7 linked regions of the Nothobranchius furzeri genome follow. The protein of the gene in region 7 interacts with the protein of the main gene of each other region in a biochemical or structural test. Links are inferred from orthologs where the notes say so. Each region holds a gene or a part of one and is shown on either strand. Other genes may lie near its edges. The genes, in order: GRB2-associated-binding protein 1, zap70, flt4, ptpn12, csf3r, proto-oncogene tyrosine-protein kinase Src and shc1.

The links.
Region 1: the proteins of shc1 (region 7) and GRB2-associated-binding protein 1 form a complex in vitro, tested with the Homo sapiens proteins (2 studies listed by BioGRID and IntAct, with this or other methods). The link is inferred for Nothobranchius furzeri from reciprocal best matches to the Homo sapiens genes SHC1 and GAB1.
Region 2: of the proteins of shc1 (region 7) and zap70, one has a biochemical effect on the other in vitro, tested with the Homo sapiens proteins (2 studies listed by BioGRID, with this or other methods). The link is inferred for Nothobranchius furzeri from reciprocal best matches to the Homo sapiens genes SHC1 and ZAP70.
Region 3: the proteins of shc1 (region 7) and flt4 form a complex in vitro, tested with the Homo sapiens proteins (2 studies listed by BioGRID). The link is inferred for Nothobranchius furzeri from reciprocal best matches to the Homo sapiens genes SHC1 and FLT4.
Region 4: the proteins of shc1 (region 7) and ptpn12 form a complex in vitro, tested with the Homo sapiens proteins (2 studies listed by BioGRID). The link is inferred for Nothobranchius furzeri from reciprocal best matches to the Homo sapiens genes SHC1 and PTPN12.
Region 5: the proteins of shc1 (region 7) and csf3r form a complex in vitro, tested with the Homo sapiens proteins (2 studies listed by BioGRID, with this or other methods). The link is inferred for Nothobranchius furzeri from reciprocal best matches to the Homo sapiens genes SHC1 and CSF3R.
Region 6: of the proteins of shc1 (region 7) and proto-oncogene tyrosine-protein kinase Src, one has a biochemical effect on the other in vitro, tested with the Homo sapiens proteins (4 studies listed by BioGRID and IntAct, with this or other methods). The link is inferred for Nothobranchius furzeri from reciprocal best matches to the Homo sapiens genes SHC1 and SRC.

What each region holds. Positions count from the first base shown.
Region 1 is NC_091742.1:87,984,705-87,988,470, reverse strand, and holds part of GRB2-associated-binding protein 1, read right to left. Parts: intron 3,174-3,766; coding exon 3,097-3,173; intron 3,008-3,096; coding exon 2,898-3,007; intron 1-2,897. UniProt on the Homo sapiens protein: Adapter protein that plays a role in intracellular signaling cascades triggered by activated receptor-type kinases. Plays a role in FGFR1 signaling. Probably involved in signaling by the epidermal growth factor receptor (EGFR) and the insulin receptor (INSR).
Region 2 is NC_091748.1:67,053,179-67,056,944, forward strand, and holds part of zap70 (tyrosine-protein kinase ZAP-70), read right to left. Parts: intron 564-3,766; coding exon 403-563; intron 311-402; coding exon 172-310; intron 99-171; coding exon 17-98; intron 1-16. UniProt on the Homo sapiens protein: Tyrosine kinase that plays an essential role in regulation of the adaptive immune response. Regulates motility, adhesion and cytokine expression of mature T-cells, as well as thymocyte development.
Region 3 is NC_091741.1:101,961,651-101,965,852, forward strand, and holds the start of flt4 (vascular endothelial growth factor receptor 3), read right to left. Parts: upstream 2,919-4,202; 5' UTR 2,817-2,918; coding exon 2,759-2,816; intron 1-2,758. UniProt on the Homo sapiens protein: Tyrosine-protein kinase that acts as a cell-surface receptor for VEGFC and VEGFD, and plays an essential role in adult lymphangiogenesis and in the development of the vascular network and the cardiovascular system during embryonic development.
Region 4 is NC_091741.1:48,575,400-48,579,707, forward strand, and holds the start of ptpn12 (tyrosine-protein phosphatase non-receptor type 12), read right to left. Parts: upstream 2,804-4,308; 5' UTR 2,584-2,803; coding exon 2,482-2,583; intron 1-2,481. UniProt on the Homo sapiens protein: Dephosphorylates a range of proteins, and thereby regulates cellular signaling cascades. Dephosphorylates cellular tyrosine kinases, such as ERBB2 and PTK2B/PYK2, and thereby regulates signaling via ERBB2 and PTK2B/PYK2.
Region 5 is NC_091745.1:71,077,998-71,081,763, forward strand, and holds part of csf3r (granulocyte colony-stimulating factor receptor), read right to left. Parts: intron 2,508-3,766; coding exon 2,338-2,507; intron 2,209-2,337; coding exon 2,058-2,208; intron 981-2,057; coding exon 898-980; intron 822-897; coding exon 614-821; intron 543-613; coding exon 357-542; intron 223-356; coding exon 121-222; intron 1-120. UniProt on the Homo sapiens protein: Receptor for granulocyte colony-stimulating factor (CSF3), essential for granulocytic maturation. Plays a crucial role in the proliferation, differentiation and survival of cells along the neutrophilic lineage.
Region 6 is NC_091743.1:58,638,808-58,643,067, reverse strand, and holds the start of proto-oncogene tyrosine-protein kinase Src, read right to left. Parts: upstream 2,962-4,260; 5' UTR 2,749-2,961; intron 1-2,748. Other genes in the region: protein MANBAL, read right to left, coding at 4,226-4,260. UniProt on the Homo sapiens protein: Non-receptor protein tyrosine kinase which is activated following engagement of many different classes of cellular receptors including immune response receptors, integrins and other adhesion receptors, receptor protein tyrosine kinases, G protein-coupled receptors as well as cytokine receptors.
Region 7 is NC_091745.1:78,657,048-78,661,498, reverse strand, and holds the start of shc1 (SHC-transforming protein 1), read right to left. Parts: upstream 2,866-4,451; 5' UTR 2,648-2,865; coding exon 2,051-2,647; intron 1-2,050. UniProt on the Homo sapiens protein: Signaling adapter that couples activated growth factor receptors to signaling pathways. Participates in a signaling cascade initiated by activated KIT and KITLG/SCF.

The sequences.
Region 1 (3,766 bases), on a different chromosome or scaffold from region 7:
TTCATCCTATTTAGCAGATGAATATGGTAGAATCAAAACTAACTGGTCCGATGTATGGAAAATCACAGCGTTTAACCGCTCTTATCCCGTCTTCCCCAGGCTCTGCAGTTGTTTACAATATGTCAAAGTGCAGGTGCACCGTGCAGCTTAGGGATGAACTGGTTGCAGCAAATGTGTGTTGGAGGCACGTTGCTCAAAGCTCTCAGTGTAAAACATAGAGCCAAAGATCGCGTTGGCCACACAGACCCAAAAACACTATGAAAACTGAGAAAAGTGAGAGATCTGTTAATCTGAAAGATAAACTATAGAGTATGTATGTTTAGTGTATTTGTAAAGTAGATGTTTTTAATTTTTATTATTAAAATGAAACAAATATTTCAAGAATATATTTTTTAGATTTTGTGCATCTTTTCATTCAGTAGGACTTAGATAAAGTTATTAAATATTACAGAGTTATTCTCTAATAGCCTACAAACATTTCTATGATTTATTAAAGAGATTTCAGTCATTTTGATACTTGACTTGTGAAAGCTGATTAGAAGGTTGTTTTTTTTTCTAGACATATTTAGAAGGAAAATTTCAAATGTATTAAAATCAATATGGAACTATTTGGATTTTAGTAGCTTTCATGTTATGTGATTTAATAAAATTTTAATTTGACATTTATGTTCTCTCTCTTTGTTGTGAAAAAGTTAGATATGTTTTAGTACTTAAAATTAATGCTTTGCATCCGTCCACACGTGTAGCTGTTGGTCAGCTAATAGCCATGCCATTTCAGGACAGGTTGCTTCAACTATCAACGATCTACTTTTAAATCTTTATTCTGAATTGCTTATTCCGTTTTAGGCCACAGTCTTGTTATTGAAATGAAAACAAAAAGAAAGGATGCTTATGGAGATGTACATCCCATCTGTGTGTGTGTTGCTGTCCAACTGTCAGCAGACCAGGTCAGTTGAAATGGCAGAGAAATGAAAAACGGCAGACATCAGGTCGATTTTTAATGCTCCAGAACGTCAAGTAAGTAGAAACTTGCATTTTGATAAAGACATCTATAAGAAAGAAATGAAATGCCTATGAAATTGTTTCTAAATGGTTTCATTAGGCAAAGTCCAGTCACTTGAGCACAGGCAGCCAGAGCCTGTCAGGCACAGAGTCGCAGGTCAGTCTCTTATAAGGACATACAGTGTTGTATGTAGAGAGCATTTTTTCATGTCCCCCCCAAAAATTACTCTCTGAAGTTTTACTGTTTATTGTCCCCCCCCCAAAATTGAAATGGGATTTCCGCCCTTGTGTCTATGGGTAATAAATGTTTCCTTTGGTTGGCTTCCCTCTCTCAGAGTTACCAGAGACGGGTTTATTTATCCCGATGAGGATTACCTGCAACCTTTCCACGTTAATAAATCATTTTCTTGAGCTAGGATGTGCTAAGATGACCCTTTACAGGGTTAATGAAAAGTCACTCAGACCCCCAACACTCTCTGTGGCCAGAATATTGCACTTGCAACTTCAGAGTGCCGGCCGCCACTTGTTGGACTTAATAAAAATGGATCGGACATGCCTGACACTGCAGTCTGATTGTTTTCTACATGAACACAGCTGATTTGTTTAATTTAGCGATGCATCACTCCTGTAGACACTAATGGATGCTGGGAGACATTTCAGCAGTTAGATTAAGGTGTTAAGAAGACGAACGCACCGCAAGGAGGTAGTTTTTGCTTTTGGTTCTACTAAACGCACACTAGGGGGAGCTAAAAGCAAGTCAAAACTACAAAGCACGCAACCTGAACCCACCTGTGGCCTTAAAGCAGCCAGGTGGAGTATCGGGATCAGTATCTCCATCACCTTAACCCTGCCATGTCCTGTCAAGTACATGTCTACTGCCCTCTGGTGGTACGGTCTACAGGTGACCATTTTCAGAGGTGTGACCAAGTCACTGCTTTGCGAGTCACAAGTAAGTCATGAGTCTTTCCAGTCAAGTCTTGAGTCAAGTCCAAGTCAAAGACAACCAAGTTGAGTCCAAAGTCATTGATGTGGAAGTCCAAGGCAAGTCCAAGACCTTAACTTTGAATTTTCTAGTCATAATCAAGTCATCTGTGCTACTTCATTTAATGATGATAATAAATAAATTCCAGAAATAAAGCATCTTAAAGCTTCATTTATTTGCTCAAACAAGCAGAAAGTGCAACTGAAACAGATTATAAACAAAGTGCTGCTGCATTTAGCAGAACAAGATCAAACCCAGAACCAAGAATGATTTAGGATTTTTGTCCATGTTGCACCACTTTTGTGCTAAAATATCAAATATGCTCAAGTCATCATCAAGCCAACCGATGCAAGTCGTTCAAGTCCGAGTCAAGTCTTAAGTCTTTATAGATTTATCAAGGCAAGTCAGACGTCATTAAAATAATGAATGAAGTCTGACTCAAGTCCAAGTCATGTGACTCGAGTCCACACCTGTGGCCATTTTATTTCTATAGTTCTGTTTAACTGTCATTTAATTACATAATGTAATATTATATAGACTCATGGACGTGATTTTAGGGGGGGGGGGGCATGTCCCCCCACTTTTTCCAAAGTCAAGTTTTGACCCCTGCACTTTTTACCATCCAAAAACAATACTATGCTATTTGAAACTGACTGGTTGAGCTCTAGGACCAAGCGGAAAACAACCGTTTGTGTTGAAGCCTGTTTCCCGTTAGCACATACAATAACGACCCCCCCCCCCCCCGTGCCCCCCCCCACACACTTCTAAAGTGAAAACTACGTCCATGTATAGACTGATGCATTGAATGCAGGTTTTTCTGCAAAGTCTTCACAACGACTTTCACTAACTTTTAAATGTCGCCTAAAACAAACAGGGATGAACAAAATAGCCCCCCCCCCCCCCCCCCCCCCACCTTGATGCTGGCGGAGGCTCGGTGGCAGCGGCGCTCATCGGAACGTAGCTTTCTTCTACGTCATCGTCTTCAGAGCAAACGCTGCCCAGGGGTACCATGCCTTTATTAAACTGGGAAACAAAACAGCATTTCAAAGAGGAAGTGACCCGAAGGTCCACATGGTGCGTTTAAGTTTCAGCAAGTATTTGGTTTAACTTACAAAGTAGCTGTTGAAACTTTCGCTGAACTCAAACATGCTGGCTCTGTCTGACCGAGACAGAGGAATGTGCCAGGAGCCTGAAACACAAAAGCACCAGTGTTTTATTTTCGTTTAACTTCCAACGGCGCAGAAACATGATAGACTCTGATAATGCACAACGTAAAAACAACAACACTCTAATATTTATATATATATATATTTTTTAACTTTCAGGCAAACATGTTGTGTGTGTTTTCCACAGTGCAAACAGAGCTTGACCAGATCTGAATCTAGATGGTGCTAACAGCCTGGCACCAGACACATCTGTGTATTAAACCAAGTCCATGCTTGTCTGGATGAGGAGAATTCGGCTGTAAACGTCCCTATTAATGTTCTTTTTCTCCAACAGGGAATAAAGCGGTTTCAGCATCGCAGTAGAAGAATGTTCCTGCTGAAACACACCTTTGTCCTGCTGGTGGACAAAGTTCTCATCCTAATGATCCTAACGCTGATCAAGCTAATAAAACAAGTGCTAATTGTTTCAGATGCTGAAATGTGAGTGGAGCAAAGCTTCTTAACATCAGTGTTCTAATTTCCTGCTGGGTCACAAGGTTTGATTAAGTATGTGTCAATAACGCAGCTAGTTTTTTCCTGCCCTTTGGCAGAAATGTGTGTGTGTGTGTGTGTGTGT
Region 2 (3,766 bases), on a different chromosome or scaffold from region 7:
GAAAAAAGTGCAGTACTCTCAGCAGCTTTGCCATTGACGCAGGCCTCCCCGAGGACGGTCACCAGGCCATCAGGCTTCATCTTCAGATACTCGACCAGCTAAAAGGAAAGAGAAAATGACTAATTTAGATTAATGAAGGTAGGCAAAGATGTAAAACAGCATCAGACCAACCTGCCAGATTGTGTCAAACTTTGTTCCATCTGGCATTGACAGTTTTCCAGATTTGTCCTGGATGACCTGATAGTGGTAAACAGTTTTTCCATACATGACGGAGAGAGCAAACGTACCAGCTTCCTCTTTGTCTCTGACTCTAATCCAAACAAAGACAAAAACCTTCAATAGGAGCTCAACAGCTATAAAGCAGATAAAAAAGAAAAAGAAAAGTCACTATGACCAACGTACAGAAACTTGCCGTCATGTTGAGCTCCGGAGTAAAGCCGTCTCTCTCCTTCATGTCGGTTGATTTTCCCGTGATACCAGGGCATCTTCTCATGGGCTGTGGTGGCAATCAGCTTCTCCAGCTGAGGAGCTTGACTGATGATGGCCTGCTCCATGGCTTCCCCCTGAACAGACACACTCATTTATACTTCTTGAAGGGTTTTGGTGTCCCCATGATTGCTTTAACCCTTTGATGCATGAATTATGAAATCTTCAACCATGATTTTTTTAACAATTTTTTTCATTCGTCTTTAGGTGTGAATGAAACAAATTTCAACAAATATTTTTTTGTAAAATTTTATAATTTACAAATAATTTATTACATGTCCACCTCAGTGGACAGCGTGCATTCTGAGCATGAAATATGTTGGCTTGGCTTACTGAAGTCCAAATGGAGGGGCTCAAATGCAATAAAGTCTTCGACAGCTGTGCTCAATAGCAAAAACAAATAAATAACAATTTTGGGTACCTGTCCACTGTAGTGCCCATTATGCATCAAAGGGTTAAAACACATTTTGCTTTGACACTTAAAATTATGTTTGCTTGTTCGTTCGTTTTCCTCTGCCTATCCAGGTCTGGGTCGCGGGGGGTAGCATCTCAAGTAGGGCATCCCAGACAGCCCTCTCAACGGTCATCTCCACTAAGGCCTGTGACAGGACCCCAAGGTGTTCCCAAACAAGATTGGAGATACTGTGTACTTGCTCCAACGTGTCCTTGGTCGACCCGGGGGCCTCTTGCTGGCAGGACATGTCCGAAACACCACCCATGTAAGCCGTCCAGCCGGCACCCTAACAAGAAGCCCAAACCACCTCAGCTGGCTCCTCTCGATGCAGAGGAGCAGCGGCTCTACTCTGAGTACCTCCTGAATGTCCGAGTTCCTCACCCTATCTCTACGGCTGAGCCCAGCCACCCGCCGAAGGAAACTAATTCCTTCAGGAAAGGAAACTGCTTAGCCAATCACCCGACCTGAACGGCATTACATTCATCTCCGACAACAAAGTAAGGAACCTTGGTGTTATCTTTGACCAGGACATGTCCTTCAAATCCCAGGTTAAACAGGTTTGTAGGATTTCCTTCTTCCACCTTTAGAATATTGCTAAGATATAAACATCCTTTCCAGGAGTGATGCTAAAAAACTAGTTCATGCATTTATTACATCAAGACTGGATTACTGTAATTCTTTACTATCAGGAAGTCCACAGAATGTAGTTAAAATTCTTCAGCTTGTCCAAAATGCTGCAGCTAGAGTTCTGATGAGAATTAAAAAGAGAGATCATATATCTCGTGTCTTAACTTCCCTACATTGGCTACCTGTTAAATTCAGAATAGATTTTAAGATCCTCCTTCTCACATATAAAGCTCTTAATAATCAAGCTCCATCATACATCAGTGACCTGACTGTTCCATATGTTCCTAACCGAGCACTTCACTCTCAGACTGCAGGTTTACTGGTGGTTCCCAGAATATCTAAAAATAGGATGTGAGGCAGATCTTTTAGCTATTAGGCTCCTCTCTTGTGGAACCAGCTCTCAACTTTAGTCCATGAAGCAGACACCATGATGTTAGCCTAGATCTGGACAAGTGGGGGAGTAGACTGAGGTGGAGTGTACAATCGGTAAAGACGGCTCTCCCTTGCCCTGCCTTCAACATGCCTCCATCTAAAAGGCTAGGTTATCCAGAGTTACCTCTGTAGTTATGCTGCTATAGGCTTATACTGCTGGAGGACATACTGACCACTTTCCACACTCGACTACTTTCTTCTACAATTTGCTCTTTAACTGTATGATTTTCTGCAATTTCAGCTGTTAGCTTTATTTATTCTCTAAGTGTTTTTCTCCCCAGAAGAAGCTACAATGATGTTCTGCTGAGCTGTGGTGGCCTCATGGAGGGGGCCATCGGCTAGCACACTGCTGCTAACCACTTAAACATTCTCCCTCTCCTCATAATAACTTTTTACTTTCTTTGATACTGAATGTGCTACTACTAGTTTACCCCTTTAATTATAGATTCACTAGGATAAATATAATAAAGTTTATCTCTCACCAAATAGAATATTTAGTAAGAAATCACAATGTAACCTGTGTGGGTGGGTTGGTGTTGTGTGTGTGTGTGTGTGTGCGTGCGTGCGTGCGCGCGCGTGTGTGTGTGTGTCTGCTCTGTCTTCTCGATCCCCATTGAGTCGTGGTTGATGGCTGCTTATATGAGCCAGGATCCTCTGGAGGTTTCTTCCTGTTCTAAGGGTGTTTTCCTCTCCACTGTCGCTAAATGCTTTCTTAGTATGAGGATTACTGTAAAGACACTGACGCTAGTCAGTGACTTGATGCAATTTTCTGGGTTCCTTATATAGGAAACTTTGTCCTTTGTCACTGATTCTGTTCATAACTTTGATGGACGGGATTTCTAGGTCTCTATTTTGCAGATGACGTGGTTCTGTTGGCTTCATCAGACAGTGATCTCCAGCCTTCGCTGGAGCAGTTCGCAGCCGAGTGTGAAGCGGCTGGGATGAGAATCAGCTCCTCTAAATCAAAGACCGTGTTCTTGAATTGAAAAAGGGTAGAATGCTTTCTCTAGGTCAGGGATGAGGTCCTGCCCCAAGTAGAGGAATTTAAGTATCTCGGGGTCTTGTTCATGAGTGAGGTAAAAATGGAGCGTAAGATTGATAGGTGGATCGGTGCTGCGTCTGCAGTGATGCAGGCATTGTATCGATCTGTCATGGTGAAGAGAGAGCTGAGCCGGAAGGCAAAGCTCTCGATTTACCGGTCGCTCTACGTTCCTTCCGTCACCTATGAGACATAAATTATAATGAACAAGATTGCAGATACAAGCAACCAAATTTAGTTTTCTCTCTAGGGTGGCTGGCTTAGAGATAGGTGAGAAGCTCGGTCATCTGGGAGAGGCTCATAGTAGAACCGCTGCTCCTCCATGTCGAGAGAAGCCAGTTGAGATGGCTTGGGTATCTGGTCAGGATACCTTCTGGACGCCTCCCTGGTGAGGTTTTCCAGGCACGTCCAACTGGGAGGAGACCCGAGGGAAGACCCAGGACTGGAGGGACAATGTCTCTCGGCTGGCCAGGGAACATGTTGGGATTCCCCCCTAGGAGCTGGCCCAAGTAGCTGGGGAGAGGGAAGTTTGGGCCTCTAAGCTCAGGATGCTGCCTTTGCGACCCGACTCCGGATAAGCGGGTGAAAATGGATGGATGGAAATTCAACATTTCATTTCTCACAGTGTAAAATAGGTCTCTGAAATATGAAATTACATTTTCTCAAGCATGAAGATAAACTTTGTTGGTAATTTCGAGCAAAACAGTTTTCCAGTTTAATATTTGAGG
Region 3 (4,202 bases), on a different chromosome or scaffold from region 7:
ATGTCTGCTGCTGTGACCTGTGTGTTTACTACATGATGTCATTAAAAAACTAAATGAGTGTCTCCATCTGTTTATTTACCACTACTCTCCGATTACATGTTTCCTGTTATTTCAGGTGTTAACTTTCTGCTTTTTTAAGTGTTTTTCTCTGCCGAGAAGCTACACCAGGTCTGGCGTTCTGCTGAGCTGTGGTAGCCTCCTCAAGGGGCCATCAGCTAGCACACTGCTGCTAACCACTTAAACATTATCCCTATCCTGATAATAACATTTTACTTCCTTTATCATAGAATGTGCTACTACTAGTTTACCTGCTGAATTATTCCAGATTCAATCAAATAAATCCAATAAAGTTGATTTTGTTAAGAAATAGAATATCTACTAAGAAATCACGATGTATGCAGCCACAGAAACACTACTTGGTGCTTATGCTGCGCCAGGATTGTCTGGAGGTTTCCGCCTGTTAAAAGGGAGTTTTCCTCTCCACTGTCGCTGCATGCTTGCTGACGACTGCTGTAAAGTCACTGACACTAGTCAGTGACTCGATGCAACCTGCTGGGCTACTTATACAAGAAACATTTAACTAATTGGGCTAATGAACTACATTCAATTGGAATGTTTACTTTGTGAAGTGCCCTGGCACATCCAACCGAGAGGATTTGCAAAGAAAGACCCAGGACATGTTGGAGGGACTGTTTCTCAGCTGTCCAGGGAACACCTTGGGACTCTCCCGGAGGAGCTGGCCCAAGTGGCTGGGGAGAGGAAAGTCTTTAGGCTACCGAGCCCACGACCCAATCACGGATCAGCGGAAATGGATGGATGGATGGATGGATGGATGGATGGATGGATGGATGGACATTGTGAAGTGCCTTGTGACATTTCTGGTCATGATTTGGTGTTAGATAAATAAACAGAATTGAATCAAAACACAAAATCCCTGATTCCTTGTGAAAATTAGCCAATACACTTGATCATAGTTTATAACCAAAAGGGCACAGGCTAAAGTTTAACTTAAGCTTACCCTATACAAACCTTTGATTAAAAAAAAGTCTGCAAAAACCTGACAAAACTTGTGATTGGTCAGGAAGTCGCTGTCGTCTACAGCACCGCCCATGCGCTCTCAAAAACATAAAGACAGCCGAGGAGATCTAGAGGCAGACGTTCCCCCATGACTGGAGGAGTGAAAAGATCCGCAGCAAGCATTTTGTTCGTGGACAAAAATTACGGGAAACCTGGGTTTAGAGGTGGCGAGTGCACAGAGGTGAAGGAGAATGAGGGACAAATTTGTTTGTGTTAAAAAGTCTGTTAAATACAAAAAACAACATAAATATGATATTATGCACCATCTTGGAAAGGATACATGACAGGATACCACAGAACAGCACTACGCCCTCTGTTGTCCTGGCGGGGAATTGCTTTGCAACACTGCCCAGGAGACGGTGAAGTCAGAGGGCAGTCCGTGTGTGCTTGTCTCTCCTCGTGGAGGAGTATAAATTAGGCGTAATGGTGCTGCATGTCTCCGCCGCGATGCAGACGGAGAAGTGTAAACTCGACTTTAGTTTTCAAATTTCTTGTCTTGAAATGGTTAGACATAAATTCTAACCTGATTGTACCTTTCTTCTCTGAATAACCTTTCAAGTCCACCACATTGAAGTTGGCTACCACAACCCATTGACCTTGGCCAACAAAGAAAATGGATAAAACTCAGTCAATTTAGCAGAAAATTAGCTCATTTACTTCTTTTTGCTGGAATTTGGTGTATCTGAGAGTCATTCACAACACACACTCCTGTAACTGATCATGCAAGTTTTTGTGATTTCAGCATTTCACAAAAAAGGTTTTTCTCAATAAGGTCCTCTAAGGAACAATAAGCCCTTCCGTTTGGGATGGATGTCCCAGTCAGCACATCAGCTCAGATATAGATAGATCGAATCAGAGTGATGATCCAGGCAGCCATATGGTGAATGCCCCTTGCAGAGCTGCTCGTTACCAACAGCTGCAAAACAGCAGTCACCACGAACAACATCAGATCTTCAGCCAAAAATAAAAAATAGCTGCAAACAGTCTCAGACAAAATGTAAAGCAGGGGCGTTAGCGAGAGGAGGCAAAAGGTGAAAGAACGTGCTTTACATTAGAAGAACTTTCCACTGACATACAGAGGGAGGGAGGGGGAGAGAGAGACAGAGAGAGAGAGAGAGAGAGAGAGAGAGAGAGAGAGAGAGAGAGAGAGAGAGAGAGAGAGAGAGAGAGAGAGAGAGAGAGAGAGAACACATAAAATTAAAAATCTAGCCTCTTTTTAAGGTATGTGTTGGGGATAAAAACACTCTATGTGTCTGACTCCAGATCAGTGGGCTCCTTCACCTCCACAACGTGACCCACATGTAAAACTGATCTGAGACCACTTAAATGAACCATCAATTATCAGCTCCATCTCTATTAGTCAAAACAACAGCATGCCTCCCTCTAGTGCCTATTTGCATGCAGACTTATTAACTTAGTTTGATTCTCAGAGGCGTTGGGGAACTTTGAGGCAATCTGAGTCATTTTAATAGCTCCAATTAATATCCACTGCTTCTGCACACGGGTTTATAATGAGTGGGACAGACCGGCTTTAAAACTTCAAAAACGTCCAAAACGTGGATCTGAACGTGTAACCTGTCACGTTTACTCATCAAGACAAACTCGATTAAGACTAGTGCAAAAAGTTTGTTCGACTAAAATAGGAAAGTTTTGCGCTCCAAACTTTGCCCGGCAGTCTCACCTGAGGCGTACGCGATTCCGATCCAAGTCCGACAGAAAAGCGTGAAATCTGTCTTCATTTCCAGGTAGATCTGTGGCACACGCTCGTGCTTGGTGGTAATGCTGGTGTGAACTTGTGAGAAGTTGGATGAAGATCCGTGGATGTTGGAGAGGAAATGGGGGGCGGGGGGGGGGGGGGGGGGGGGGGCGCAGGTGAAACCCAACCGGAGTGGGAAAAACAAATAAAACCGTTTTTTTTCCTGTCCGTCAGACGGATGCATGAGACACTGAAAGGGATTTACAATGATTTCCCTTTCCTCTGCTCGTGACTGGAGCACACGACCCACCCAGTTTAAAACAAGCTGAATTCTCTGCGCGCGCGTGTGCGTGCGTGTGTGCGTGTGTGCGTGTGCGTGTGTGTGTGTGTGTGTGTGTGTGCGTGCGTGTGTTGAGGGTCGTCCAAAAGTCCATGACAAATTTCCTTCCTGCAGATTCCCATCAAGCCTCATCCAGACCTGCCTGCAGCAGTTACAGAGAGGATGGTAAAGGTCGGGTTAAGAGCAATAAGGACCACATGGAGTGCTTTGGGGTTTATTTATGAAATAAATAAAATAACGTGATTTCTTTTCACGGCTGTCTGAAGACACAAAAACACCTTCAATAGCTCAGCAGGTGGCCACCAGAGCTCTGAAAAAGCCTCAGCAGGAGAGAACCTGACAAATGCCACGGAAACACGCCACATTTTAACTCTCAGTTTGTCATTTTAATAGCGTTTGTGAGGTAATTCTATAAATAATAAATATCTGACCTGTTCACAGCCTCAGTCTGAATATTTGGGGGGTTGGGACTGAAGAGTTGCCATCATCATATAGATTGCCATCATCTTGGATATGTTTCAAAAATTCTTTACAAGTGAAACTCAACAATTCGAATATGGGGCAAAATGTTATTTATGCCACTAATTTAACTAATAGGTGAAGCTAATGAATGAGACAGACTCATTCCAAGCAAAGCCAGATATTTCTGCCTTTATTTGTTACAATAGTGATGATTATGGATTGCAGCTCATGATAACCCCACATATAAAAATCTCTTTTTTTAAATGGTTACACTCAGTGTCACACTCTAATCAGCTAATGAATCCTAAACATCTGCAAAGAGTTCCTGAGCCTTTAGATGGTCTCTCAGTCTAAGTTGAATCACTGACATAAATGGACTTTTGACCGTACATTATTTTTAGGTTTTACCTTATATTAATACATTATGTTATTAAAAGTAGCATATCCAGGGCATCCAGAGTTCAAGTTCAACTCAGTGTTCTTCTCATTTCTGCATGTAATGAGATATTTACAACAGTGATGTGACTTCTAGGAGCCTGAAGCTGGTTTAACCCAACAGTCCACCTTGGTTCTGACTGTCAGACTAGACATTATCTCATCAGTCCTGTCATACGTCAGGTCTCTAAA
Region 4 (4,308 bases), on a different chromosome or scaffold from region 7:
ACTCTGGAATGAGCTGCCACCATCAGTTAGGCTGTCCCCATCTCTGCCAGTCTTCAAGAGTCGCCTAAAAACACACCTCCTCCGCTTGGCGTTTCCTGAACATGTTTGATTTTGGCCCTCTTTTATGTTGAATTTATTTTACAGTTTTCATTGGTTCACTCTATCCATTGTTTTACACATTTGTCCTGTACTAGAATGTTTCGCCTTTTGTGTAATTTGAATTGCTTTTATTTTTGATTTATTCAATATATTTACCTTCTACTGTACCAAGTTCAGGGCCTTGGGCTTCCTGACAGGGTTGCGGAAGGCACTTTATAAATAAAGCTTTGATTGATTGATTAAATCATTAAAACATGAACTCTGGATACGTTTGGTTCAGAAAACAGATACAATTAGAAATATACAGTTATATAAGGAAGATGGATGGACAACTTTGGTAAAATACATATATTACATAGTCTAGTACCCCCAGCAGAGTTGTGCTTTCTAACAGTGTTCAAGTTGTGATTATGCAATCAGGTTACCAACTCTCAGAATGTTAATGTAAAATAATTGCAACAACAGCTTTACATGATAAATAAACCACAATAAAACTTAAAAGCAGCTCTTCTGCTTTTATCCAATCTCTGAATGCCTTATGTGATAATCCAATTTGATTTTCTGAAATTAAAACTATTCATAGAATTAGTGATGCACTGATTTGAAATATTTGGGCGGATACTGATATCCGATATGAATCACTGTTATGGCTGATAACTGATATTTGCCAATACCAATATACTGACATTAATGCTTCTAAAATCACCAGATTTTGTACAGAATGAAAATTATTAAAGCTGAATTTACGTTATTATGTACACACACCACACACATTTACACTTCTGCGATGATTAAAATAACTGTCACATGACTAAACAAATACACATGACCTCCCTCACCCTCTGAAAAAGATAAACAAATGGAAAGATGGAAAAAATATTGGTTGTTAATATCAGCCTGGTTTTATTTATCGGGCTGATACCGATATGTTAAAAAATGACTTACAAGTGCTGATATCGATATTGATGCCGATATATTGTGCATTCCTACATAGAATTGATAAGTTTAGCGTCTGAGGAGTGAGGACACAACTAGCCCGACATGAAGTTCTAGTTAATGTTTTTGAGAGTATGAATTAGAGTTGAAAAAGTTCCACTATTGAGCCAGCACAAAATGTTATGAAATAGGCCAAGAAAGAATGTTGCAAGCTCCAGCAAGCAGCTTGGATGAAGCAGGGAAGTAAGCAGTGTTTGTTTGCAAGTGTAGGCAAAAGAACTCTGACAGGGATGGGACTCCAAACCAACTCAATCTAAAACATTTAATTCCCGGAAACAAAACATATTGGTTAGTTTGTATTTCAACTATTTGAAAAACAGTTTTTACAATATTTCAGATTGCTAAAAATCACAAACGTGGAATTAAATGTTTGTCCTTAACATAACATTTTGAAACATTGTAATCAAAGCCACCCAACTAAAGTGGCCACTTGAGCACAAAAGCTATTATGGACGTGTCATTCATGTTGTGACTATTTCAGCCACAAGCCCAGGAGTGGGAGAGGTCCAATTAGGAGATCAGAACTGCAACATCCAGACATGTAGTGAGAGGCAGACCCATTACAGAGCAGTCTGTGGTCATCACAAAACAAACTAAATGTGGTTTTGAAATGACTTCATCAACAAACAATTACAAAAAAGGGCTCAACACTGGCTCAGATATTTAATTTCAGGCATGCCCAGGACACAAGTTGCAGCTGATGATTATGAGAGGGAAGTAGAGGAGGGGAGTGGTAGTTTTTGTGGTTGGGTATTACTATTTGCACTGAGTTGCGTGATTATCACACATAACTGTTTAAATTAAACTTAGCTATCATTTTAGATGGTGTAGTTTCACATTACAGGATGTGTTATGTTACAAAGTGAAGATGCAAATACTGGTGAGTCTATCAATCACTGCAGAACACGTGTTCCCAGTACAGTTGTATTTTTGATGTAGATTTAAATTTATACAACAAAGGAACTTGGAGGTAGAGGAACTAGTGTGCACCTAAGATCTGTTAGAATAACACAATAGGAAACACCAGAACATCCCAGTTTAGCCTTAGCTAAAGCTGCTCTTCGCTATGCCAGACAAAAACATCTAATGGCTTTAAGGTGACGTGACTTGTTTTGCTGTTTGCCTCTTTGATTTGAAGACAGGAGTTGGTGGCGTTTCTGTGCGGTTCGGGAGACAATGCAAGGCCGCCATATAAAGGCTGGAAATGGGAGGAAAAGGAAGTGGGCATAGTGTGGCCGCCCCCGCCTCACCTCCTGGGGGATACAGGGAACCATAAGACGGGAAAGGGGGCTCGGATATAAAGGGTCAACATGAGGAAAACGTGGATATTTTGACACAGGAAAAATTAAGAAGTCTAGCTTTAGACTCCTGCTGAATTAGGCTCACCATAAAGTCGCTGCCAAAGTTGTCCTCCCCCCTCTTCTCGTCTCTTTCACTCATGGTCTTCACCCCCTGGATAAACTGTCTCAGGATGCCGGCTTGGTCCATCTTTCAGTCCTCTTAAAACGCTGCCTTTTTCCGTTTAAATATATCTCCCAGACTAACAAGGGGAGGAGAACATTAAAAATAAAACAGCAGAGGACAAAGGAGAGGGAGAAGGGGAAATAAATAAAAATAAATAGGCTTTCACGGGTCCTCCCAGAGAGTCATCGTCGGTCCACAACACAGCACATTTATTTATTATCGCCCCATGTTGTTTCTGCCTTTCCTTCTTTCTTCTGGACTGTTTTCACGACAGCAGTTAGTCCCAAAGAAAAGCTGCAACGGCCGGCTAGCCAGCCCCTCGAACAAGTTTACAACCGCGGCGTGGAATAAACTGTCAGTACGAGGCTCGGCGAGAAAATACAAAATAAAGAAAAAATACCAAAAAACCCGGTCCGGTCAGTCTCTGTACCCCTCCCTGTCTACCTCGATTGCCACATTCACACTAGTGCTCGTTATTCGCTACTGGAGAACATCCGGACTGGGCAAAACCGACGAGATGTAGTCCCGCCTTTTCCAGGATATACCTGTTTCTGATTGGTAGCAAGAGAACGTGTGACAGAATGTTATTGGCTGAGACGGCTGCAGCTCTACCAAACGGCCTCGCGTGATTGGATAAAACTTATGCCTGTTTTTCTCAGTTTATCAGCCACAGGCATCCAACATTCATAGTGGGAACAATCAATCAATCAATCAATAAATAAATAAATAAATAAATAAATAAATAAATAAATAAATAAATAAATAAATAAATAAATAAATAAATAAATAAATAAATAAATAAATAAGATATCCATGTAATGTGTATTATTGTCACTTCAGAAAAATGAACAGACGTATCTCCTTTTAACAAAACAATATAATCAGCAAAAGGTTCAAATCAATTTATTTATTCAGCATGCAGAATTTGACATGAACTGTCCCCTTCCAGCGAATGAGGCTACAATGTTATTACACATATGCTGTAATTCAGTTAAAATGATAATTATACGTTTCAACTCAGTCTGTCATACAATTTGAAATGTATTTGTTTGTAAAAAAAATTCTCTAATAAAAAGACAACAAATCAGAAGTCTCATTTATGATATCACAGCAGACTCTGACACTTTCCACATGGTCAGATTTATAGTGATTTTCTTATGTTTAATTCTCCTTCTTTAGTCCTGGAAGATGGATGTGAAGCTCGCTAAACTCAAAGCCATTTTTCTTCTCTTTGGTTTGATGATGTAAAATTGTTGGGACGGGCAGTACATCTTCCCACACAAAACCTAAAGGATCTTTTGTTGCCTGTTGTGAATAAGTACTTTCCTGGCATCAAAATGTGTCATTAAAATTCCCACAAACTATAAGTGAAATCCATGACACATATCGAACAGGATCAGAAAATAACTTTTATCACCACAGACTCCCATTTATTGTTTTTGATAATAAATGGGAGTGTTTTCTTCGCTTTTTTAGGAAGTGAGTCACATCACAGCTGAGCCTCAGTGGAAGAAGATGGCCGTGACTTTTGTCTGGTAAGAGCATTGCACAGGGAAGCAACAAATTACACTTTAATAGATGGATCACAGTATGAAGTAATAATATGCCCGGTATTGGAGGTAGCACAGTTTACAGCTCTGGTGTTACAGTTTTTCATCCAGGAGGTTAAATAGATGATGAGCTGGGTGAGATGAGTCTTTTAAGATATTTTAATACTGCTAATAATGCATTTAAATTGCAACAGAAAAA
Region 5 (3,766 bases), about 7.6 Mb from region 7:
AAGGGGATTGCCCAGTTGATGTCATCTGATTTTTGCCAGTGCTTTTCTCACTACTTCAAAGTTGATACAGGCTGACTCTTGCACCTTTGCTTGCTCTTTGCACAATCCTCCATGACTCACCCTTTTGTTGCAAGAAGGCATCAACAGTTTGCGGAGGCCCGATCCCATCCTTAAATCTGGGATATACGGAGATCCCGTAGGGCTTGTAGGGCTCAAAGCTGCCTATTGATGAGGGTGGAGAGGTTAGAGTGGATCAGTGGCTGCTGGATGGTAACAGTGTGTACAGACGGCTTATGCACGACAGGAAGAGGGAGGAGGTTCCTTCTAAAACGTGTGATAAAGAACAGTTTGCTTACCATAAAGGGAAAGACTGGACTGGTTTTTGTCCACAATTTCAAACAGGATGTGTGAGAGGTCTGATTTTAACAAAGGCCTCCATTCTACCACGTAACCAGTGAGGTCTGATGGGGCCGCGGTTGTCCACTGGACCAAGAATGATCCATCATGAGGAACAGCTGTGACATCCAACACCGCCGTCTGAGCTGCAAACATAGAAACTTTTAGTTGCGTGCAGAAACCAGATGTTCCCAACGATATTTTCAACAATTATTACCTTTAGTTTGGTAAATCCACACTTCAGTAGGGGAAGATGCTCCTGCTCTGTTCACAGCTGTCAGATATACTGTCTTTACTCTTGCAGAAAGCTTGAAAGTACAGTGATTCATGCCTGTGGAGCACACTTTCCACCTTTCACCAAGCCGTTTCTGGAGCGAGACCACGTAGGACACATTTTGTCCGTTTGCGCGGAAACGTCTTGATGGCTAAAACGTTTAGAAAGAAGTAACAAAAGCACAACCTCTCAAGCTCTGCCAGAACCACAAGTGAAAAGGCATTCACCTTCCAGAACAATTGTACGTCGAGCTGCTTGTGCATTTGGCTTTTGGAAACCTTCATCCACGTGTTCAAACGTCCAACAGGAGCTGAAAGGAAAGAAAGTGTCATTAAAAAGCCTCCAAACACTTTAGAAAGTGGAACTTTTTTTTGTTCAAGGCAGGTTTTTATAGATCCGCTGGCGAGGTAAACGACAAAACGCGATACTTGCAATTCAGCCTAAGCTACAGATGCAGACATGCATATGTGTGTTGTCGTTGTCGTCTTCCTCCGCTTATCCGGGTCCGGATTGCGAGGGCAGCATCCCAACTAGGGAGCTCCAGACTGTCCTCTCCCCGGCCTTCTCCACCAGCTCCTCCGGCAGGACGCCAAGGCGTTCCCGGACCAGATTGGAGATGTAACCTCTCCAACGTGTCCTGGGTCGACCCGGGGACCTCCTGTCGGCAGGACGTGCCCGAAACTCCTCCCCAGGGAGGCGTCCAGGAGGCATCCTGACCAGATGCCCAAACCACCTCAACTGGCTCTTTTCGATCCGGAGGAGCAGCGGTTCTACTCCGAGTCCCTCCCGATTGTCCGAGCTCCTCACCCTATCTCTATGGCTGAGCCCGGCCACCCTACAGAGGAAACTCATTTCGGCCACTTGTATCCGCATCCGCGATCTCGTTCTTTCGGTCATTACCCAAAGCTCATGACCATAGGTGAGGATTGGGACGTAGATCGACCGGTAAATCGAGAGCCTGGCTTTCTGGCTCAGCTCCCTCTTCACCACGACAGATAGGTTCAGCGTCCGCATCACTGCAGATGCTGAACCAATCCGCCTGTCGATATCCCGATCCCTCCCACCCTCACTCGTGAACAAGACCCCGAGATACTTAAACTCCTCCACTTGAGGTAGGACCTCTCCCCCGACCCGGAGTTGGCAAGCCACCCTTTTCCGGTCGAGAACCATGGCCTAAGGTTTGGAGGTGCTGATCCTCATCCCAGCCGCTTCACACTCGGCCGTGAACCTAACCAGCAAGAGCTGAAGGTCATATTTGTGTACTGAAACAATTGAATTTCCCTCTGGGATTAATAAAGTATTTTTGAATTGAATTGAATTTGAGAGTAGAAAGAAAAGGGCAAAGATTAAAAGTGACTGTGTCATTTTAAATTGATCTGAGCCCGACCTGTCTCCGGGGTGACTCCAGACTTGCTGCTGCTCCACTCGCTCCAGGGGCTCTGCTTGTATTGGACTCTGATCTGGGCTAAATACTCAGTCCCAGGAAGGAGACGACACAAATCCATCGGTCTGGGCGATCTAGTCCTGTTTGGGAAGGTCTGACAAAAATCGTGCAGCCATGACTGTCTGCAACTATCAACACTGCATCTTTACTCTCTGGAGACTTGCTGAGGAAACACAAGAGCACGCTGTCATTTTATATTAAAGGTGAATTGATTTAAACTCACCAGTGGGTCGGACCATTGGCCGCTGCCAGCAGCTTTAAACTGCACTTGTAGGTTTAAACAGTTAAAGTACATCCATTCCTGATTTTGGGACAAGCGCCACACCAGCTTCAGGCAGCCCAACCTTTTGGGGTCTGCTGTGATGGCTCGAATCTTTGGTGGGTCAAACTTTGCTGAAATAACAACAATCAACATTTAAGACCTTAAATAGTTTTGGCTTATCAACGTGAGATTTAGAAGATCGTGCAACATCTTTCCATTTTAATCATTAAAAAAAAAGCACTGAGCTTGTAGGAAAAAACACAAGTGACTTTTTAAAAAGGAACACCTTGTAAAGAGCTAAAAATAGCTGTAATCCTTGTTTACTTTTCTAACCATCTGGAGAAAAAACGAAGTTTGCGCAGAACAGGGGCACCCCTAGAAAATTTTCATGTGGGGGCCAGAGAAAAGTTTGGGGTGGCACACCAAGTTGGTCCTTACATAGCAAAAACTGGGTTTTCAAGACCATATAAAAGCTACATTTGTAGATCTTTTTTATCTGAAAAGAAAAAAAGTCTCATCACAAAAAATATGCATTCCCTAAAATATCATTAATATTCCTAAATGTGATCCAAATAGTCTTGTTTTGAATTTTAAAAAATCTGCTTATGGGGTAAGGAAAAGCTGCTTAGCTAGAATTTTTCAAACTAGTTAATAAAATAAAAACATTAAATTATTTCTCTGGATTTTAGAAAAATTAGCTAAGCAAATTTTGCTCAAAACAAGAGAATTTGGATCATATTTAAGAACATTTACCTTAATTTTAAGTAATAAAATTTTTCTAGATGTGAAATGTTTTTCATTTTAGAACAAGGTAAAATATAAAAAAACAACTGGGCTTTTTTACTTTCTTGAAAACCAATCACCATAAGGACCAATTTGGTTTGCCACCTCTGGCTCCCTCATGAAAATTTTCTGGGAGCGCATCTGTTCTGCACAAAACTACACTGCTCACAAAAATTAAAGGAACGCTTTAAAGAAACACATTAGATACATCAGATCTCAATATGAAGTTGGATATCTATACAAATAATGACAGGGCAATGCCTTAGGAACAAAAGGATGCCAAGTCTTTTAATGGAAATAAAAGTTATCAGCCTACAGAGGGCTCAATTGTGTAGACACCCTAAAATCTGAGTGAAATGAAGATGTGGCAGGCTAGTCCATTATTTCAAAAACTTCATTTCTGCAACTCAAATTGCTTTTCAGTATCTTGTGTGGCCCCCACGAGCTTGTGTGCATGCTTGACAACGTCGGGGCATGCTCCTAATGAGACAGCGGATGGTGTCTTGTGGCATTTCCTCCCAGATCTGTGTGAGGGCATCCCTGAGCTCTTGTACAGTCTGAGGAGCAACCTGGCGCCGCCTAATGGACCGAAACATATTAAACCTTC
Region 6 (4,260 bases), on a different chromosome or scaffold from region 7:
CGGTCTGCCAGGCAACAGCATTTGTTGCATTTTTCAGTAAGTGGGAGTGGAGTGAGAGTCTGGAGTGAGACCCCCCCAAATCAAAATTTTTTTGCTTATAAACTAAATAAACGAGTGTCTAATCGTGCTGCAGACACGTGTCGTCAATAATTTGGCATTTCAGTGCATCTTAGTTAAAATTCAAATATTCTGCCTAAAACTGGCAGTGTTGTGCCGTTGTCAGGTAAAAACTCTGCACTGTATTTTAATTTAAATCTGCCACCGCTATTGGTTAAGAGGTATGCTATGATGTAAACTGGTACATTATGATGTCACAATGCTGTCGTGAGCCTGTCTTTGTGTGTATTTGTTAGCAGCTCCGCCCTCTCGGTCTGCCAGGCAACAGAATTTGTTGCATTTTTCAAACATGAAGAGGGAGTGAAGTAAGTTTCTTGTACGAGTTGACTTGCTCTTTAAGAAATAGTTCCGAACATTCAGCACGTGAACGTGGCATGTCTGATCACACCGATTGTGACTTAAGCTGATAAAATGACAACCCAAAACAAAAACATTTGTGGCTCTGAAGTCAGTCTTACCTTGTGCTAAGATTTTACGTAGGAAACAGAACACTTTTTTTGCTAATCCATCCCCCTGTCCCAGGTCTTATCAACCCTGATTTTTCTTGTGATGATGAGCACACTATTGCTGCACATTTGGCTATGACAAACCTGACTGAGTCACAACAGACGGTACCAGTTGTTGCTGTGCTGCAGAGACTGAAGGAGCTCTGGCTAATGTTTCAGTTCAATGGGGAAATTACAGTTTGCCCTCGGGAGAGAAGGCGAGGAAGAGGAGGTGGGGAGGGGTCAGCGATGGTTCCCCATGATCAAAACAAGAGGAAGCATTCACATTGGCATTGCCGTCTTGTCCTACTTTACATAGTCAGAGGAAGAGAAATGGACTTGATTAGGTCCAATGAACATCAGAACCACATCTTCTTGTCTTCTAAGCCTTTACATGAACAATCCAACATGTGTGGAAAGGGTAAACAAGCTCTCCCATCTCATCTGTCCTCTGGCAAACACACTCAGGAGAGACAAGGGGAAAAAAGGAGGAGGAGGAAGACGGACAGACTGAGGCACTTAGCTGATAAAGAAAAAACACTTCCGTCCATCTCTGACTGAAGGCTCTGGGAACCAGTGATCCTGGCCGTGGGGAGCGGCTGCTTCAGCGTGATTAATTTTACAGGACATGATGGCCATTTCATGTCAGAGATGTCACGTCATTTACAAATTCTTAAAACTCACCCTGTTCTACGTGTACGCCCCATTTCTGACTTACATTTATTCAAATGAGAGCATTTTATTTATAATACTCCCTCTGATCAAAACATGTCTAAAGTCTCCACTCACTTTTACACTGAAGGCATTAGGAAAGTAAAATAACCTTTTGGTCTTCTTGAAGTCGATATTCACCTGGAAGCCTCCATGCAAAAAAGTTCTGCGACATAACTCATGAGTCGGTGTTCAGGGAACACCTTTTCAACTAGTGAGACATGACAAGCAGTCGGAATTACCTGAAAACAGGCAGGAAAACATTCCTGAAATGTTCCTAGTATCAACACCAAACAAGATCAGGAAAGGTGGGAGTTCACTGAAGGCTTTAGTTCCAGATTAGCCAACCCTTGATTTTAGGAAGCTGTCTGTACATTTAATGTCTGCTGACTAAAACAGATGAACGCATGAATAAATAATGGAGACAATAACATAGCTGCAGCCAATTGAGCCAAATATTTTGAATGACCCAAAAACAGAACATCATGTTTATCACCCATTTGCCCCCATTTATGGGATAAAAATATTTAATTTTGCTTTTACAGCCCAGTTAGATGTTGCAGCTTCCTTTATGTTTGGTGGATCAGCAAGTCCACCAGTAGCTCAGATACTAGGGCTTTAGGATTAAAGTTCCTCCTTAATAAGAAACCTGGATCTCTTTCCTCCCAGAAATTAGCTGGAACAGCCCCCCCCCCCCCCCCCCCCCAAAAAAAAACTATCTGCTAATAAACTATTAGCCACATAATTAAAATTCTATTTCCACGGGATTAAACACCAGTTGTCAGCAAAGCTGCTTTCAATGAAACGCGGGGTGGGGTGGCTGCTGCCTACGGGAGTAGCAACTGTCAAAACGGAATCTTTGCTTGGGGAGAAAATAAAAATAAAGACATAACCTAATTAAAAACCAGCCAGAGTTAGCAGGGCGATCCGTTTCAGGTGGTTTCTGGATTTGTGAATGGGAACGTGGATTGACTTATTTTTAAGAGGGCTCAGTGACAGACAGCGGTAGCTCCAGTGCATGTGGCCTGATGAATCAAAACAGGTGCTGTTACAGCTCCATTTTGGATTTCGATGGATTGTTGGCTTCTTTTTCAGAGCAAACTCGTCTCATCGGATTTTCTCTGAGCATCTGGCGTCGTGACGAAGCCACGATGGCGATTTTTACAAACCTTTTGTTTTTTATGGTCTGTAGTAAGTCCTAAGGGGCAAGCCCCGGCTCAGACTGAATCATTGCACTGGCCGTGGTCTCTGAATGGCCTGTGTAACAATGAGCGTGTGTGTGTGTGTGTATGTGTGTGTAGGGGACCACAGCATATATACATGTGTGAAAACAGACTAACACCTAATTGTTAGCTCGCGGTTGGCCCCAAAACTGTAAACAATCTCCTCGCCAGGAGAGAAAAAGCCGCTACATGCTGTAATAAACTAAACCTACCTTTGACGCGTCTTGTGATTCAGCCCCCCAAAAAAATAAAATAAAAAAATCAGAGAAGCGCAGCGAGGAGCCCGGTCAGATTCGTATGGCTGTTCTCATCAGAAGAATATGGAAGCCGACGGGCAGTTGCTGTGGAAACCTCAGTCCAGCCGCAAATCCCATTTAGCGAATATCAGAAGAATCACCGGAGGAAGGGAGAGAGGTCATGACGAGGACTGATTCTCCTCAAGGAGGGAGCGCAGCTGCCGCGGTGGTGGCGGTGAGCTACGGCGGCGGTGGTCCGGGCGAAGCACCGGCAGACGGTCCAGCTGGAAAGGAGGCGACGGCGCAGTAAAAATCATGCGAACGAGCTGGAGCGGTGTTATCCGGGGAAGACCAGCCTCGTATGGGGGAGGAAGCCGCCGGAGAGAGCGCATCGCTTACGAAACATGAGGGCGAACCAGGGGCGAACACGAAAAGACTAGATTTACGTTCAAAGAGCGTCGGGAGAATTTACGACAACAACTGCGCAACTCGGCTCTGTGAAGGGAATCACTTTGGGCATGACACGAACAGATTCTGAACACCGCTGCCGCGTTTAACCCCTTTAGATCTGTTCAATACATACACAACTTTGTTACATAACAAATCCCCGGCAATGACTTAATTGAGATGATTTGCTTAAAGTACAGGCAACGTAAAGTGGTTGCTTAGCAACACTTCCATTACAGCAGAACGTGACTGTCGCATTAAAGTCAAACCCTCCGGGGTTGTTGACGTTTGGAAAACATTTGCCCCAGTTTTGAGTTTTATTGTTCCACAACGTTGTAATTTAAAATAATCTGGTAACTGAGTAAATGTAAAGGTTTGCACTTGTGAACAATCAGTGCATAGTTTATCAATTTATTTTTCAAATTACTGTCGCAATCATCTATTTTAATAAGTTCCCTTTTAATGTTTTTGTAATAGAAATAAAAGTATTTTTTATAAAATGACGTTTGGCTTAATGAAATTTTTAGCTATGAAAAAATTCTCTCTAGATATGCGATTTCAAGAGAAAGAAAGTTACAATGACACAAATAAACCCAAATTTACATAATAAATCAAAAGCATCGAGATCAAATATGGACAAGTTACCTATTCTTTATATTTAAATACATTGCAAAACTCCAAATCTCCCTATGATATTTGTGTCTGTAGCTGAACACCAGTCACACTTAACTGACTCACAGACATGAGTAAAACAATCATAAAGACAGCTGAGGTGAATGACTTTATTGGTCAGTTGTAATCCACATGCATTTCCAACAATATCTTCAATATTTATTAATAAAATGAAGGGAAACGAAAACTCTTCACTGTCAATGAACATCGTGTTTTTTTGCAGTCTGTGTGAATATGAAAGTAGGATCATTGAGAAATGTGTTCCATGTAGTGTTGTAATAATAACTAAAATGTATCAGATGACAAAAACAAACAAACTCAGATGCACAAAGCTCTATCGTTTCTTTTTGCTCTCTTTCTTTGGTTTCT
Region 7 (4,451 bases):
CTGAACAGGTCCAACCCAGTCTTACTGTGAGACCGTGTTGGGTCACGCTTGTGCGTAATCATATGCGCTCATGAGCTGAAGAGGATGTGAGATTCTGGGATTCTCCTCAGACGGCTCCTGGATGTGTCGCACATTGGAGACAGGAACAAGCGCTATTCAGCCAAAGTTTCATAATCAGGGAACATTTTCTAAGTGACAAGTCTCTCTGAGAGACAGGGTTTGGAAAACACTCGCTTCAGTGGAAGTAAGCTTCCCGCATGCGCTTCTGCGACGCTCGGATCCTGCACGTCTTTTAACACATTGGTCAGGATTGACGCACTTTGTTTTCATTTAGTTGGTTAAAAAAAAGTCGGGCTTGGGCTCGGGCCGGGCCAGAGAATCCTGAAAACCTTTTTGGGCCGGGTCGGGCTGGGGCTCCACCCCCTCGGGCCGGGCCGGACACGGGCTCAGATTTTAGGCCCGTGCAGGGCTCTACTGGGAATTTTTATTGATTTGAAGAAAGCCTTTGATACAGTCGATCACAAAATACTTTTATCAAAAATGGAGAAGTGTGGTATAAGGGAGACAGCTCTCAATTGGCTAAAAAGTTATTTGAGTAACAGAGCTCAGTATGTGCAGTTGGGCTATCACAAGTCTAGCTGTCTCGAAGTTCACTGTGGAGTTCCGCAAGGGTCGGTACTTGGCCCAAAGTTATTTCTGTTATATATAAATGATATTTACACAACTTCAAAATTATTTAAATTTATTATGTTTGCTGATGATACAAATATTTTGTGTTCAGCAGAAGATATACAGCAACTTATACTAAAGGTCCAGAATGAATTGAGTGAGCTTAAGAATTGGTTTGATAAAAACAAACTGTCGTTAAATGTCAGCAAAACAAAGTTGATGTTATTTGGAAATAAAAGAAGTAGTAAAGAAATCTATTTGACTGTTAATGAAATAGCCATTGAAAGAGTGTATGAAATTAAGTTTTTGGGGATATTGATTGATCATAAGCTCTGTTGGAAGCCATACATACAATATGTGTGTTCTAAATTAGCCAGAAGCATTGGAATAATAAATAAAACAAGATATTCTCTACCACAGAAAGCACTACACACACTTTATTGTACTATGATTCTACCATACTTATCATATTGTGTCGAAGTATGGGGCAATACTTATAAATCTAATTTATTAAAGATTTGTGTTCTCCAAAAAAGAGTGGTAAGGATAATTATAAATTCTGGATATAGAGATCATACAACTCCATTATTCTACAATTTAAGATTACTCAAATTTTTTGACTTAATTCAATTTAAAACTGTCCTTGTACCGTATAGGGCCATGATGGGTGTACTGCCGTGTAATTTGCAAAGGTTGTTTAAAACTCATGAAGAGGGTTATGAATTGAGAGGCGTTAAAAACTTCATTTTTCCATTATACCGAACAACTATGAAAAGTATGTGTGTATCTGTATGTGGTATCAAACTGTGGAACAAACTTGATGTGACTTTAAAATTATGTAAAAACATTAGATCATTTAAAATGTTGTATAAACAACTCATAATTGACTCATACGTAAATAGCAAGTGATAAAAATGGTAATTGGCTTCAAATGGAATATTTTGTTTTTGTTGTTTATTGGTTTTGTTTTCTTTTTTCTGTAGATTCATGTGAACAATTGTTTTGTAACTGTCTTTTTATGTAGCAACTAGCAAGGTGAAGATAGAACGACCTGCATAAAGAATTTTTTTTTTCTTTCAAATTTGTTAATGTGAGCAAATGTGATTTATTAACTGAATTGGGGCTGGACTAGATAAGCTTTTGCTTCTTCCAGTTCCCTCTCAAATGGTTTTATGTTATTGTATGTTTTGTATTGTTTCATTCAACAGCATATGTTTATCGTATTCCTCATTTAAAAAAAAAAAAATTTTTTTTTGTATGCACCAGGAATATGGGGGAGTGCATATGCAATTTCATGTTTTCGATGGTTTGAGATAAATAAATAAATAAAAAATAATAATAAAAATACAGGCTGGACAGTTGAAGTGTGCCACTCACTCACCCGAACAGTATAGGAAACTCCCGTGGTGCTGATCACGTTGTCAGAATGCAGCCAGCCACGGGTGGGCTTGTTGACAAAGGAGCCATGGCGCGTCCACTCGTCTCCTCCCAGCTGCCCTCCTTCCACCCGTGCCCTCCTGGACGCTCCTCCGAGCCGGTTCATGTCCTGCAGAGGAGGTCGGCGAGGGGGAGAGGGAGCAGTTAGTGTGGGAATGGGTTGATGAAGAGTAGGGGAGGAGCTAGAGTTGCTCCTATCATCTCCAGATGACTCAACAGGTGCCTGGGACTGCTGAGACCTGTTTGAGAACCTGGGCACTGGGAGAAGAGTGCCAGTGACCCCGAGACGAAGGGATCTCATACTGGGGAAGAAGGAGCAGAGGGTGGTGGGGCTGTTCTCAGCTGGGCGCGGGGAGGTGGGGGGCAAAATGGCAGTGAGAGACGAGGAGGAGAAGGAAGAAGGCAAACCAGGGGAGGGAGTCAGAGGGGTGGCGGGGCTGGATGGAGGGAACGGCGACGGAATGGAGTTGGTCTCATCTGTTGAGCTCAGCGACTCACTCCGAATGTGGGTGTACTTGGTTTTCTGCATGAGCTCCATCATGTATTATTTATAGGTCCTCTTAGGCTGCAGAGCTTCAAGCCAAGTCTTTTTGTCTCACGACTCAAAGTTTTTCTCTGGAAGGACACTCAAGTATCTGTCTGTGTAGGAGCTGCGTCCATCTGTCCGCCGCTCAGGCAGCCCGCACCAAACCGCTTCACAACTGGCTTTATCCACACTGAGAGCAGGAGGAGAGGAGGTGCTGCGGAAAGGTGGGGCCTCCTCAGCAGCGGTGGGGAGCAGATGAAAAAAGTGTTGTAGAGCACCAGAACAGCTCATGTTGTCATCAGTTTCTTTTGGTGTTTTTTGCTTTTGTTCGCCGAGTTCCCCTGAATGGACGAAAACACGTTCTCAGCTCTCCGTAGAGCGATGGTCTTCAGCCACGATGCTAAACGATTTCTCGTCCCAACTTAATCGTCTCCGAGTGCCGGACGACTATTCAGCTGTCGCCAGCACCACGACGAACCAACACAAGTGATTGTCTCTGAATGCTCCTTGTGCGTGTGTGTGTGTGTGTGTGTGTGTGTGTGTGTGTGTGTTACTGCACAAAAAGGTGTGTACATCAGTTTGTGACGCGTCTACATGGCAGTGTAAACCGAGTGTGTGTGCGTGTGTGTAGCAGCTCCCCTTTGGCAGCTCTATCACGCTTGACATAGGCCTGTAAAATTCCTATTAGCAGCCAACAAGGGGATTGCAGAAGGGGCTGCACACGCTAACACAGCAGCAACACATAAAACACAACCTCGGCTGGTCGATAATACAGCGAACACCTGCAGAGCCACGGAAGAAGAGAGAGGAGGCTCTCAAACTCTGCAGTCGTGCAGTCGCTTCAACTTTTCACGACTATTCTTAAATCTGGCTCCCCTTTCTACTCCCTCTCCCCCTTCGTCCAGATGCTTTCATGTCCTCTCTGAATGGCCCTTGCTCTCTCCCTCCCAACGTCTCCTTCTTCTCTCCTCTTCCAGATCACTTCTGGTGAAGACTCCCTTCCCTTCTCTGAGCTCTTCCCTCCCTTCTCTCTTTCTCCTCTCTTATCCTGGAAGTCCTCTCTCTTCCTCCACACGATGTACTCTGCCAGCCTCTGCTTCTCCAACGCCTCCGCCCTCTCCCGTGCCACCACTTCCTCTCTCCTCTTCCAAACGATCTCTCGGTCCCCCTCTCCCCCTCCCTCGATTGCTCGCCCGTTCTCCAGGCTGCCTTGTTTAACAGTCCCACACTTGTATGCTAAATACTGAGCCCTGTCGTTGCGCCTCTTTACGTTAAGGACCGCGGATGGCTAGAGGCTAGACATGTTGGCTTTAGACGCCGATATAAAACCAAAAGAAAGTGAAAAGTTAGTAATTAAGACTGGGCTTAGAGCTGAGCCCGTTCCTGACTGAGGTTCCTGAAATGGCCTGCCTTGGTTCGTGTGTTCTGTAGAACTGGCCACCTTGGTCACGGTGTGTTTTGTTGCTGGAGCACCATTTGATCGTGGTAAAGTTGAGTCTGAGATGTCTGTCTGGTACAGCGAGACACACTGCAGTAGCACAGTGGTGATGTAACACGGCAGAATGTAGGTCATAGGATGACGATGACTACCGGTGGGCCTGTTGAGACGATAACAAGCCCTGATTGGTCAGGCTTGGACCCCCAACTTAGGGTTCCCTGAATGGAGACCCACTGGTGTTGTAAATGAACCCGCTGGGTTAAGACTGCACTCAGCTCCTGACTCGGTACTAGCATGGACACAGATTATAGTTGTTTACCTGAGAGAACAGTATTGACACCGATATGAACGAATCGCCGTGCTATAATCCAGAACAGCGTC